2 linked regions of the Bombyx mori genome follow. The protein of the gene in region 1 purifies or fractionates together with the protein of each later gene. This does not show direct contact. Links are inferred from orthologs where the notes say so. Each region holds a gene or a part of one and is shown in the gene's direction. Other genes may lie near its edges.

Region 1 (5,185 bases):
CCAGACTCGCGGCACCGCCCCGAGGACGCCCGACTGACGGGTCGTCAAGGCGATCGTCTACGATCAATGACGCCGGTCTCTGCAGTACGGCGGCCCGTCCGGGCGATGCCGCTGGTGTTCCGGGATTCCCCTCTGGGTCAGAACCAGCCCGCCGGGTTGGAACGCGATAAAAAAGGCCATTAACATTAACAACATAAGCGCCGCCAACCATCTGAAAACATGAGTTCTGAGTCCTAGTGCTATGGTGCAACGGCGACCCCACCCTTCAAACCGGAACGTATTACTGCTTCACTTCAGAAATGGCAGGGCACCTACCCGTTCGCGCTCACAAGACCCTACCACTAGCAACAAAACATTACACATTTTTATACATCTACACCAAATACGAAATGCTTTTTCTTACCCATTGCATCCACTGATGATTGAACGAAACAGTAGTGGTAGCCTATCCCGATGCCCATGATGGTGACGGTTAGAATGGTCAGCATCAAACAACATGTTAGCATTGCGCATACTGTCCACAATGATACTCTGATAAAAGAAGTCGTTTTATGTATGTAGGTATATCAACAAGAAAAAAAAAATCTGTACTCATTGACAAATTCTTGATCGTCATTTAGAATTTTTATATGAAAACAAGTTTGACATAAAAATTACCTTTCCAGGGCATCAAGAATTATGGATACAAAAGAACTTAACGAGCAACATACACAACCCATTTTGATTCATTAAACATAAAATTTTAAATGATTAGGAGTACAATCAACTACATTTCATGAAATCATTTGTCAATCCATTTGATATTCAGATAAATAAGCCAACAATTTTTAAAATTCTGCAAACATGATTTTGTTATCATCCAACAACGAAAACGTATTGATTATGATTGCTTGTTGTTTGTCAGCATCGGTGACACAAGTCAACAGGCTTAAAACACTAATTTCCTATTTTTGCATCAACTTTAGCATCAACCTTGCTATAATCCGATACATCGATTTAATAAATTATTATATTTATATTTTGATAGTTATATAAAAGCTTAATTTAAAATTAATGTTTAAAATAATTATATTATATTATTAATTATCGATTTTATGAAAAGTTGAGTTTGTTTTGGATTACAAAATTAAAATTAAGCAAGTCAGCTTTGTTAATTATTTTTACTAAACATCCTCGTTTGTCGGTATGTATGGCGACATTTGTGTTGTTGATGTCTATGAGCTCCAGTAACCACTCAACACCAGACGAGCAGTGAGCTCGTCCGTCCACCTAAGCAAAAAAAATGCACTACAATTATTAAATGATATTAGCTTGTTGGCTGCGTTAAATTATTGTTGCCAATGTCGAGTTTATAGGAATCTTCAATTGTGTACGTTTAATTTAGGTACGTAATCTGTTATGTGAAAAATGATATGAAGCGAAATGAGATGAAGTGTTCTAATTTGCAACTCTAATCAAATGGAATGAAATTAAATGAAACAGCTAACAAGCCACCGTTATTACAGATTTAAACCTAAAGAAACACTTAATTAACAAAATAACACAATTCACACAACTCTCTCCTCTCATTCCCGCCAAAGATTCTTCAGGTAACATCATCCAAATAATCACGTAAGTGGCGATGACAAAAGTTATGGAAATTAATTGATTTCGTTAATTTTGTATTTTTCAGGTTTATTTAATTAGGTACCTATGTTGGTAGGTACCTAGTGACTTTTCTATTAAACGGTTTGATTTGGCATTATGTCAGTTTTGACACCTGTCAATATTCAGAGGTTATAAATATTATGGCAGATGTGATGGCAGATCCTAACAGTCTACAGAAGAAAGAAGAAACGAAGAAAAAGCAAAAACGCTATCCTAATAAGAATTATGCTCTTAAAAAGCGTTTACCACCTAGGCCAGTAAATGGAGACAATGTGTTGTTTATTACGAAGAAGACGAACTTTAAAGTAAAACCGAAAAACATCAAAACATCCCATTATACTATGTAAGCACTGATATTAAATATTTCTTAATTTACAGGCACAACTAGATAAATGTTGCGATTTACTAACAAGAGGAGAAAAGGAGATAATACTTCATGGTCTAGGCGCGGCAATACAGAGATGCTGTAATTTGGCACTTCAGCTGGAAATTCTATTTTCAGGCACCTGTCAAATCGAAGTAAACACTGGATCTGTAGACCTAGTTGGTGAGTTACCAAATTTCCTGAAGTTATATAGTGAGCAACAAATACTAAGTATACCACTCCAGTAACTATATTCATTTGAATGGTTTTGTCAAATCTAACTTACAATAAATACATCGGAAAAATAAATCTATCATATCTTTGCTTATATGCCATTAATCTTTTACAGATGATCTAGAGCCACTGACTGATGAACTAGATTTTGGCTCACAAATACGACATTCATCATCCATCCACATAAGAATATTTAGGACAGCAATGCTCGGATCTAATCAAAACTAGTGAAAGGGTGATAATGTTTTTTACACTAAATGAGATTGTGCAATGGATTGGACTTACTGTATTTGAAATATGGATCAATCTTATAACGCTCACTATATTTTCTGTACTGTTAGCTCTTAAAATTGATGGTGTATTGAATAGTGCATGGTGGACAATATTTGCACCTTTGTTTGTGAGTGATGCGATGAATGCATACTTTTGCTGTATTGTATGCATAAGAATGAATCTGGAAAATTCTTATAAAGCTTCTTTATATAGAGCATCTTGGAGTGGAATATTTTTAGGGCTAACATTTGTTTTCAAATTTTTACTTTGTAGAAAACTACAAGGTGATTCGGCTATAGAATACAGTGAAGTTTTTGCACCATTATTTATATTGTTACAATTGATAGCAGTACGTGCATGTCAATTACATCAATAACATTCTTAACCAAAAGATGCTCTTATATTTATGGACATAAATATTGTTGTACTATAATCATAATTATATCTGTATGTTTCATTTTTTTCAAGTAAACTGACAACTACGCTATTGTAAATAAGCTTTGTAGCATAATCTGACTGAGACATACAAATAGAGAGCTATTTACTTATGTTACTTTGAAAATGTTTACACCTGAAACCAAAACACATTTTAAATTCATATCCATTTGTTTCTGATTTTTTTGGCCATTTATGACATAGCAATAAAATTTAAACAACTAATTAAATACTATTTTTTATTCAAAACCTCAAGACTCATATTCTTTTAATGATTTTTTTATATAATGTGACTGTTTGAGATTAAAGGCTGTATAATTATACTTTCTGTCTTTGCCTATGTACCATAAAGTGCTATTTGCACAAGGTAAACTTATTAAGTACGTATTTCAATAGAAAAATTGGTACCCGCCTGCGGGATTCGAATTTCGAACATCGAGACATCGCTACATACGAATGCACCAGACGTCTTATCCTTTAGGCCAGGACGACTTCAAAATCGCCTCGACGGCCCGTCGGTCTGGCGTCCTCGGGGGTGGCGCCGCGTGTCTGGTTGTAGTGTTGACCGCGGGAACCCCCCTAGTCTGACCGGGTTCTGACTCCGGACGGAGATCGGACGTCGGGTGTAAGAGTGCAGGGGGTCGCTTAGTGCGGTAGGGCCCATAAAATTCCTTAGCCGCGGTCTGCTCCCAAGACCTGCAGATCAAGTCCCACATACCCCGCGCGCCAACTAGGCGCGGGGACCTCGTGGGAGATTGGCCTTCGGCCCGAAAAAACAAGAGTAATGACTAGTAAGATTTAAACATCTAACATCATTGATCTATTGGACAAAACTTGTTTCAAACTTCACATAAAAAGTACATAAAATAATGTAATCAGTTTGATTTTCTTGCAAAGGCAAAGGCTGTAACACTTTTCTCATGAATGTATAGATGCTTTAGTTTTGATATAATTGTAAAACATGAGACCATAGAACACTTTCACACCAGTAATACTGCAGAAGAAAATCCTAAGCATTGGGCATTTAAATGTGAAACATATTAAAAAACTGTAGATTATTTTATTATGTTTATTTATTTAGTTATTTTGACTTATAAATTATATCCAGCACAGATATTAACAGAAATAATTTTTAATGGAACATACTAAACAAGCCTCCCCTGCTCTTTTTTTCTTCTCCGCTAAAATTAAAAGTGAAACCTTCACCATTATTTTCGGTATTCGCATCATTCTTTGATTTTGTAGACTCCCCAAATAATGAAAGTCCAGCTTTTCGGAGGCCTGGAAATTAAACATATTTATAAAAAAAGTAAGACAGTTCATATGCGCAAACGCTATTCGACAATATTATGTTTGAACTTCATTTTATTAACAGAGTAAAGAGTTTAATCAAATAAAGACTAGCTCTGCTTATTCATCACCAAATCCAGAACAGATCTTATCGTAATAATACACGATACAGGGCAGATAGTTGCAGTCCTTCCAAAGCGGAAACACAAATACAGCTAGAAACTTATAAAAGTAAAACATAAATACTTGTTTTGTTTATTTCACATTGCCTGGCAGCCTTCTCTTAAAACTGCTGATTTCACGCATAATAATTAGTACTTTTTACCTATGAAGTTGCCTTTTTACAATACTGGCCATTTGAAACCTAAATTAGATATATAAGGATGACAATAAATTCTAAATTCAAATATATATTTTTTAATATACTGTTATGAAGTTCTATATTGAAATTCAGTCAGTTGTTTATTGTGTTAATATTTGTTATTAATATGGACACAATAAAAATACGAGTAATTATGGAATAAGAGTTCCGTCGCAGTGGCAATGCCGCACAAACGGGATAAGGAATGTCTCAAACGAAAACTTTCCCCTAAAATAATCATGGGTACTGTTTGATAATATATTGCCGGTCAATTTCATCACCGCTTCTTATCAAATAGCACCAGTATTAACTACGGTTGTGTACTGTGAGGAACTGGACACAATGATGGAGAAACTCGAGAATCTCTGGCCAGTCTCAGTTCCCTGTTGCACGTATACAGCAACACAAAGTTTGAAAATCTCATAGTAGGGCTAACATTTTATACCCGAGAGGCATTACAGAATGTATTTGAGGAGTTTGTTGGCTCCCGCACAACTGACTACTTCAAGGAACACTGAACAACTGATCCATTCGCGAAGCAGTTGCTCTTGAGTTATTAGGTCTCCTTCGGAGGCGCTCAG
Region 2 (5,769 bases), on another chromosome or scaffold:
TAGATCACTTTGGTGGTGAGGGTGAGGCGCGACGGCAGGGGAAATCGTATCGAGCGCGTTATTGGTAGATCAGTCGAACCCTGCGCCCCGCACCGCGCCCTCGTTCCGCTCGCTCCCAAAAGTACGCTTGCGTACAGTGAAAAATCTATCGTTATTAATCGTTAAGTTAATTGTTATAATTGCCTGTTGACTTTGTTGCCATTGCTATTTGTTGAGTGTTTGTTGATTTTTTATAAAAAATACACTATGCCGCGACAAACTGGTGTAGTAATCAAAAGAAAGGGTAGAAAAATTGTGTACGACGTATATTGCTTCATTATAAAACAGGGGAAGAATGATATGGAAAAAGTAAAACAGACTTCGGAAACAACAAAAACATCAGTGAGTACTGTTAGGTGCATTATTAACGAAGCTAAAGGCTCTGGCTTGCTCGCCGTGTTTGGGACACCGGGTAAGAAAAGATCTTGCAGCGCCGTGTCCTGGTCGCAAAGATAGGACCGGACTTGTCGCTGCCTGGCGTCGTGTCGTCGATGCTTGGCGGTGACGAGTCCTGGAAGGCTATGCTCGACTTCTGCGAGTGCACCATCTCGCAGAAGGAGGCGGCGGGGCGAGTGAGGCAAAGCTCTCCTCACTACGCAGAAACCCGCCGCCGCCGAGCAGGGGGTCGGGACCGGGGTATCGTCCGTAACCCGGCCCCCTAAGAGCTTCGGGCTCCACCCGCTTTGTGCGGGGAGGAGCTTAGGCGTGGGGCGGCGTGGTAGGTCGCGTTCCCCCGACCGCTCCGGGGGAAGGTGTAGCGCGGCGCTATCAATCGGGCTCTTGGCCCGTCGACCGAGGGAACCGGCGGTCATGTTGCTGGCGGCCGCCGGTCCGGCGTCTGGGGGACGGCGGGATGGATGTAATGTGCTCTGCGTAAACCCTGTCCCGCCGTCTCAATAACTCCGACTGGGTTCCCACCCGGTCCGGGGTAGGGCGCCGGCTGTGAGCGGCAGGAGTTTTTAGTGAGGTTCGACTCCCACATACCCCACCTGCCGTGCGGGTGGGGATCCGGCGATTTTCTCCTGTGGAAAAAAAAAGGGAAGAAGAAAGTTACCGGAATGGATAGTTTCGTTCAATCTGTAATAAAAAGATGTAATCATAATAACTACATAACAAGCAGCGAAACTCCGTAACGTAGAAAGGCTTCGAAAAATTTAAAGAAGATATACATTTTAATGGCTCGGAATGAAGTTTACGACGAATTATGAAAGAGCTAGGCTTCAGATGAAAAAAAAAACAGAAAATAATCGGAAGCTGGTAATTGAAAAAAGTAACATTCGATTACTACGAATCGAATATCTTAAAAAAATAATTAATTATAGACCAAAAAGAAGATCGAACGACCGAGTTGTAAACTACACCGATGAGCCCTATGTCGACTCATCACGATGATGGCGACTCGGGTGATGAAAACAGTGATGATGATGATGGTCAAGATTATGATAACGAAAAAAAAATTACAAATACCAGCTTCGCTTCAACTGAACCAAGACCTGGCAACAGCTCTAGTTTTGACTTAATAGAAGGAATATCTATTTTACCCCAAGATTAAATTATTACAATTATTAACCTATATTTTTTGTTGATGTTCTAATAAATATATAAATAAATACATATGTTGATTGTAATAATTTAATTGCATTATGACGCAGCGTAAATAATGTTTTTGCACGTGAGTGTACCATGCGCAAACTTACCCCCACTACGTCAACAAATGCTCAAGAAGTTTGCCGGCTATTATACCAGTGGTGTGGATTGGGAGAGGCCTATGTCCAGCAGTGGACGTTTGGGCTGTTGATGATGATGATGATGATACCATTGAAATATTATTTATTTTTCATTTAAATTTTTTTCAATTTTTTTTTATATATTTAATTGACATCTGTCCTTAATAAATATACCAAATTTCGAGTTATCCAACGTTCCGAAGGGAGTCAAAATCATGTTCAAAGATTCCGTTACATACTAACATACATTGTATACGTCTGAAGCTAATAAGAGCGTATTAAAATAGATAATATTACTTTTCATAATAATCAGATCAGATGATTTTCAGACAAATAAACCTGCGTCAGGTGTGCGTGGAAGCGCGGGTGAGCAACCAAACCGGCTTCACGCGAGTCACCGTGCTGCTACTGACCAACGTCGGACAATTACTGCTCTGGCAAGACACCACTAACCAACTCACAAGGTGTGCCCCAGTTTTTTTTTATCTATATATTAATACGTGAAGCAAAAACTTTGTATCCCTTTTTACGAAAATTGCGCGGACGGAGGAGTATGAAATTTTCCACACTTATAGAGAATATAGAGAAGTGCACAATGCTAATATTTTTTTAAAATAATGCATAAAAGATACATTAAATCAATAAAGAAAACATTACACACACTACATACAATGTATTTGACGCACACACTCATGCATACTATTTATTGTCAAACTTTGGTTCTTGGCGTCTGTTGTCAAATTGAGAATAGATTAAATATTGTTTGTCTTTTGTTAATATTTTTTATAGTGTAGTCTTAGCGAAATTTGTGATTATAGAAGCATAAAATACAATCATAATAGTGTACAAACTGACAATTCCAATTAATTATAGTCGAATTTCGACTACTGCGGGACCTCTATACCCTATGCCCTAATATACATCGATATTATTGACGATATCTGGTTTCATGAAAATTTTAATTGAAGGCTAACCGAGTAATTGCAAATAAATATTATTATGTTATTTACTCTTATTACTGACACATAAATAATGTTCTTCTGCCAGACCAATAATACTAACTCAGTTATGTACTTAAGTTTGATGGTAAAAAGAGCCCGTTACTTACAACCCATTTCGATAAAGCGGCACGACACGAGACTCCTCTCACCGTGGCCACCGGAAACTACATACCCGATCCTGCGGACCAAATGGTAAACAGTCGACGTCGCCCAAAACACGTCATTTTGGATCCTCCCGATCCACTAACGGTGCTTTTAGGTACCTCAAGCACCGATCACAGTCCTCGTCAAACCCATCCCATGCGACGAAGGGCTCGACGAGTGAATTAACCCACAGACACAGCCCACCGAGTTTCTCGCCGGATCTTCTCTGTGGGTCGCGTTTCCGATCCCTAGTAGATTCTACGAAGCACTGCTCTTGCTAGGGCTAGTGCTACCAACACTCCCGATTCGAACCCCGTGAGCTGACCTACTCGCCCGGTTACGCTGACATAGCATCTAAAGGTCATCTAGTTAGGTAGAAAAATATATATATATATTAAATTGAAAGCAATTTTGTTATGTTCTTCCAGATGCGTATTTGGTCTCCAGCATCAAACCATCATAACTCAAGCCGTTCTCACGCACGAAGCTCTGTATTTCACGACTAAGCACGGCGAAGCGTTCGTCGGCTACATATCGCGTAAGACCTCGCCCATAGCTCTATCTCAGCCAATCAGGAAAGAGAAGGAAAGAGACAACAAGAGCACCCTTGTGAAGTTCTTAGAAAAAGGCGACTGTACTTCTGTCAGGATAATGAAAATACCGAATATATATCGTGCCGTCTCTATTGCAGTCGATGGCGAGGGATTAAACTTTGCCTGTCTACAGGTAATATTTTTATAAAAGTTAAGTTGCTCTCATGTACCGTCCATTCCCTTGCTGCTTTCAAGTTTTTTTAATTGTTTTTTTATTGCATAAATGTGTGAACGATCTTACAGCCCACCTGGTGTTAAGTGGTTACCGGAGTTCATAGACATCTACAACGTAAATGTCACCACCCACCTTGAGATATAAGTTCTAAGGTCTCAAGTATAGTTACAACGTCTGCCCCACCCTTCAAACCGAAACCCATTAATCATGCTTTTCAATTGTATATGTATAAAATACGGCCGTCGTTTCAAAGCCATTGGGATGAAATAAAAATCGTGTGTGAAATTCATTGTGGTTCGATTAATTTCAGATCAAACCCACATGCGGCTTGAGGTCTGTGCCGGAACTATCCCCGACGAGTTTGTCGAAGCACATGGAGTCTCTACGCGAAACTGCCGCTGTAGACGACTTACTGCACGACGTTTTGTTTAAAGTAAGTCTTTATTGTTACGCCGGTAAGAGTAACGCCATCTATCGCCGAATAGTCGAACGAATATCGAAGGACCTAGTAGTGTCTCGAACGCTCGAGAAGTACAACGCCATCTATTGTCAGATAGCGGAAACACACAGCACTAGACTAAAAAGCGTTGTAGATATGGCACGCAGTCCGTTAGTACACGGAACTACTCGAAGCGAAACAGCGATCAAAACAAATTTAGGATACAATCTCACCGCAAAGTCTTTGTTTTCAACTATGATTCTTTTACATTCGGCATTAACAATCAGTTGTTTTAAAAATGTTATACAATAAAAGTAACAAAATAAATATTTATTACAGGTAGGCACGAAACTGTATCCCGCCCACATCTACATTATAGCAACGAGCAGTGAATACTTATATAAAATGTATCAAGAGAACCTAACGGACAACAACGAGAAACCAATAATTGCATTAAACAATATCCATCCCGACGTTTTCGATAGAATATTAAAATACACTTACACAGGGACATGCGATGTTGCGGAACTGGGCCCTTGCAGTTTGAAGATTAAAAAGGAAGATGTCATTGGAAAGAAAGATTTGGATGATATTGATATTGAAGTAGATGTTATCGGTGAGTTAAGTTTTATATTATGACGTCACACCTAATGATACTGTACAGATGTGGTTCGGATATATTCTGCGACTTTAAAAAAATAATGGTGCGCGTGCAACTTCGTGCACGTGAAAGAAGTGAAACTTCTTTTGCGGTGTGTGGTATTGTGGTTTTCTTAATTTTTCATCCTTAAATCAAATTTCTCTTGTAATAGGGAATTATTTGTATAAGAGAAACAACCTAGCTCGCTTTGTCCTTCCCCTCTACACGATCGAGTGGTACGCGAGATGCTCTATATTTTCACTCTCGCTCTTCCTAAATTGTATCTTTTCCTTCTAGCCTTAAAGAACCTGTCGCGAGTTAAATTTGACTCTCAACGCGCCTAAAGAAGTTTCACTTCAGAAAAGAAATTTCGGTTTCTTATCATGCAGCATTTGTCCAACATACCTACTTTTTTTTTTTGAGACCTTGATGCTTGGACAAAATCACACATTTATTACTGTAAAAACTTGCAGAGAACTCGTCCGAAATATCAGCGTACGAAGTCTACAGCAAACAAAACGAGAAATCGACCAGGAAATCACGTAATCGCCGCAGTACTGACACTCCGACCAGACAAAACTTGTACTGTGACCCCGTAAGGATGGTGCAGGCCGCGGCTAAAAGGCTCCACGTTAAGGGACTACAAAAACTTCTTGATAAGTTCTAGTATGAATCCGATATTTTTAAACTCAATACTTATTATAAATCGTTGCCAAGTAATTCATTCATTAAAAAAAAATGGTTTAAAGTTAGCCCCTGGAGAAAGCCGTATAAAACAAAAATCATCTATATATTAATACGTGAAGCAAAAACTTTGTACCCCTTTTTACGAAAATTGCGCGGACGAAGATGTATGAAATTTCGCACACTAATAGAGAATATAAAGAAGGAGTGCAGAATGCTAATATTTTATTTAAATTATGAATTATTAATACATTAAATCAATAAAAAAACATTACACACACTACTGTGTATTTGACACACACACATTATAAATACTCTTTATTTACT

The links. The genes of interacting proteins can lie anywhere in the genome.
Region 2: the proteins of Tm (region 1) and inhibitor of Bruton tyrosine kinase purify together in Homo sapiens (affinity purification with mass spectrometry; 3 studies listed by BioGRID and IntAct, with this or other methods). This does not show direct contact. The link is inferred for Bombyx mori from reciprocal best matches to the Homo sapiens genes POP7 and IBTK.

The regions. Positions count from the first base shown.
Region 1 is NC_085114.1:11,854,722-11,859,906, forward strand, and holds Tm (Tm protein), read left to right. Parts: upstream 1-1,952; 5' UTR 1,953-1,953; intron 1,954-2,024; 5' UTR 2,025-2,025; coding exon of another isoform or gene 2,026-2,194; intron 2,195-2,360; coding exon of another isoform or gene 2,361-2,473; 5' UTR 2,474-2,486; coding exon 2,487-2,894; 3' UTR 2,895-3,183; downstream 3,184-5,185. Other genes in the region: uncharacterized protein LOC101739983, read right to left, coding at 404-531, 658-719; uncharacterized protein LOC101738502, read right to left, coding at 4,086-4,234. UniProt on the Homo sapiens protein: Component of ribonuclease P, a ribonucleoprotein complex that generates mature tRNA molecules by cleaving their 5'-ends. Also a component of the MRP ribonuclease complex, which cleaves pre-rRNA sequences.
Region 2 is NC_085125.1:10,563,587-10,569,355, forward strand, and holds part of inhibitor of Bruton tyrosine kinase, read left to right. Parts: intron 1-2,095; coding exon 2,096-2,230; intron 2,231-3,339; coding exon 3,340-3,637; intron 3,638-3,989; coding exon 3,990-4,112; intron 4,113-4,457; coding exon 4,458-4,734; intron 4,735-5,225; coding exon 5,226-5,424; intron 5,425-5,769. UniProt on the Homo sapiens protein: Acts as an inhibitor of BTK tyrosine kinase activity, thereby playing a role in B-cell development. Down-regulates BTK kinase activity, leading to interference with BTK-mediated calcium mobilization and NF-kappa-B-driven transcription.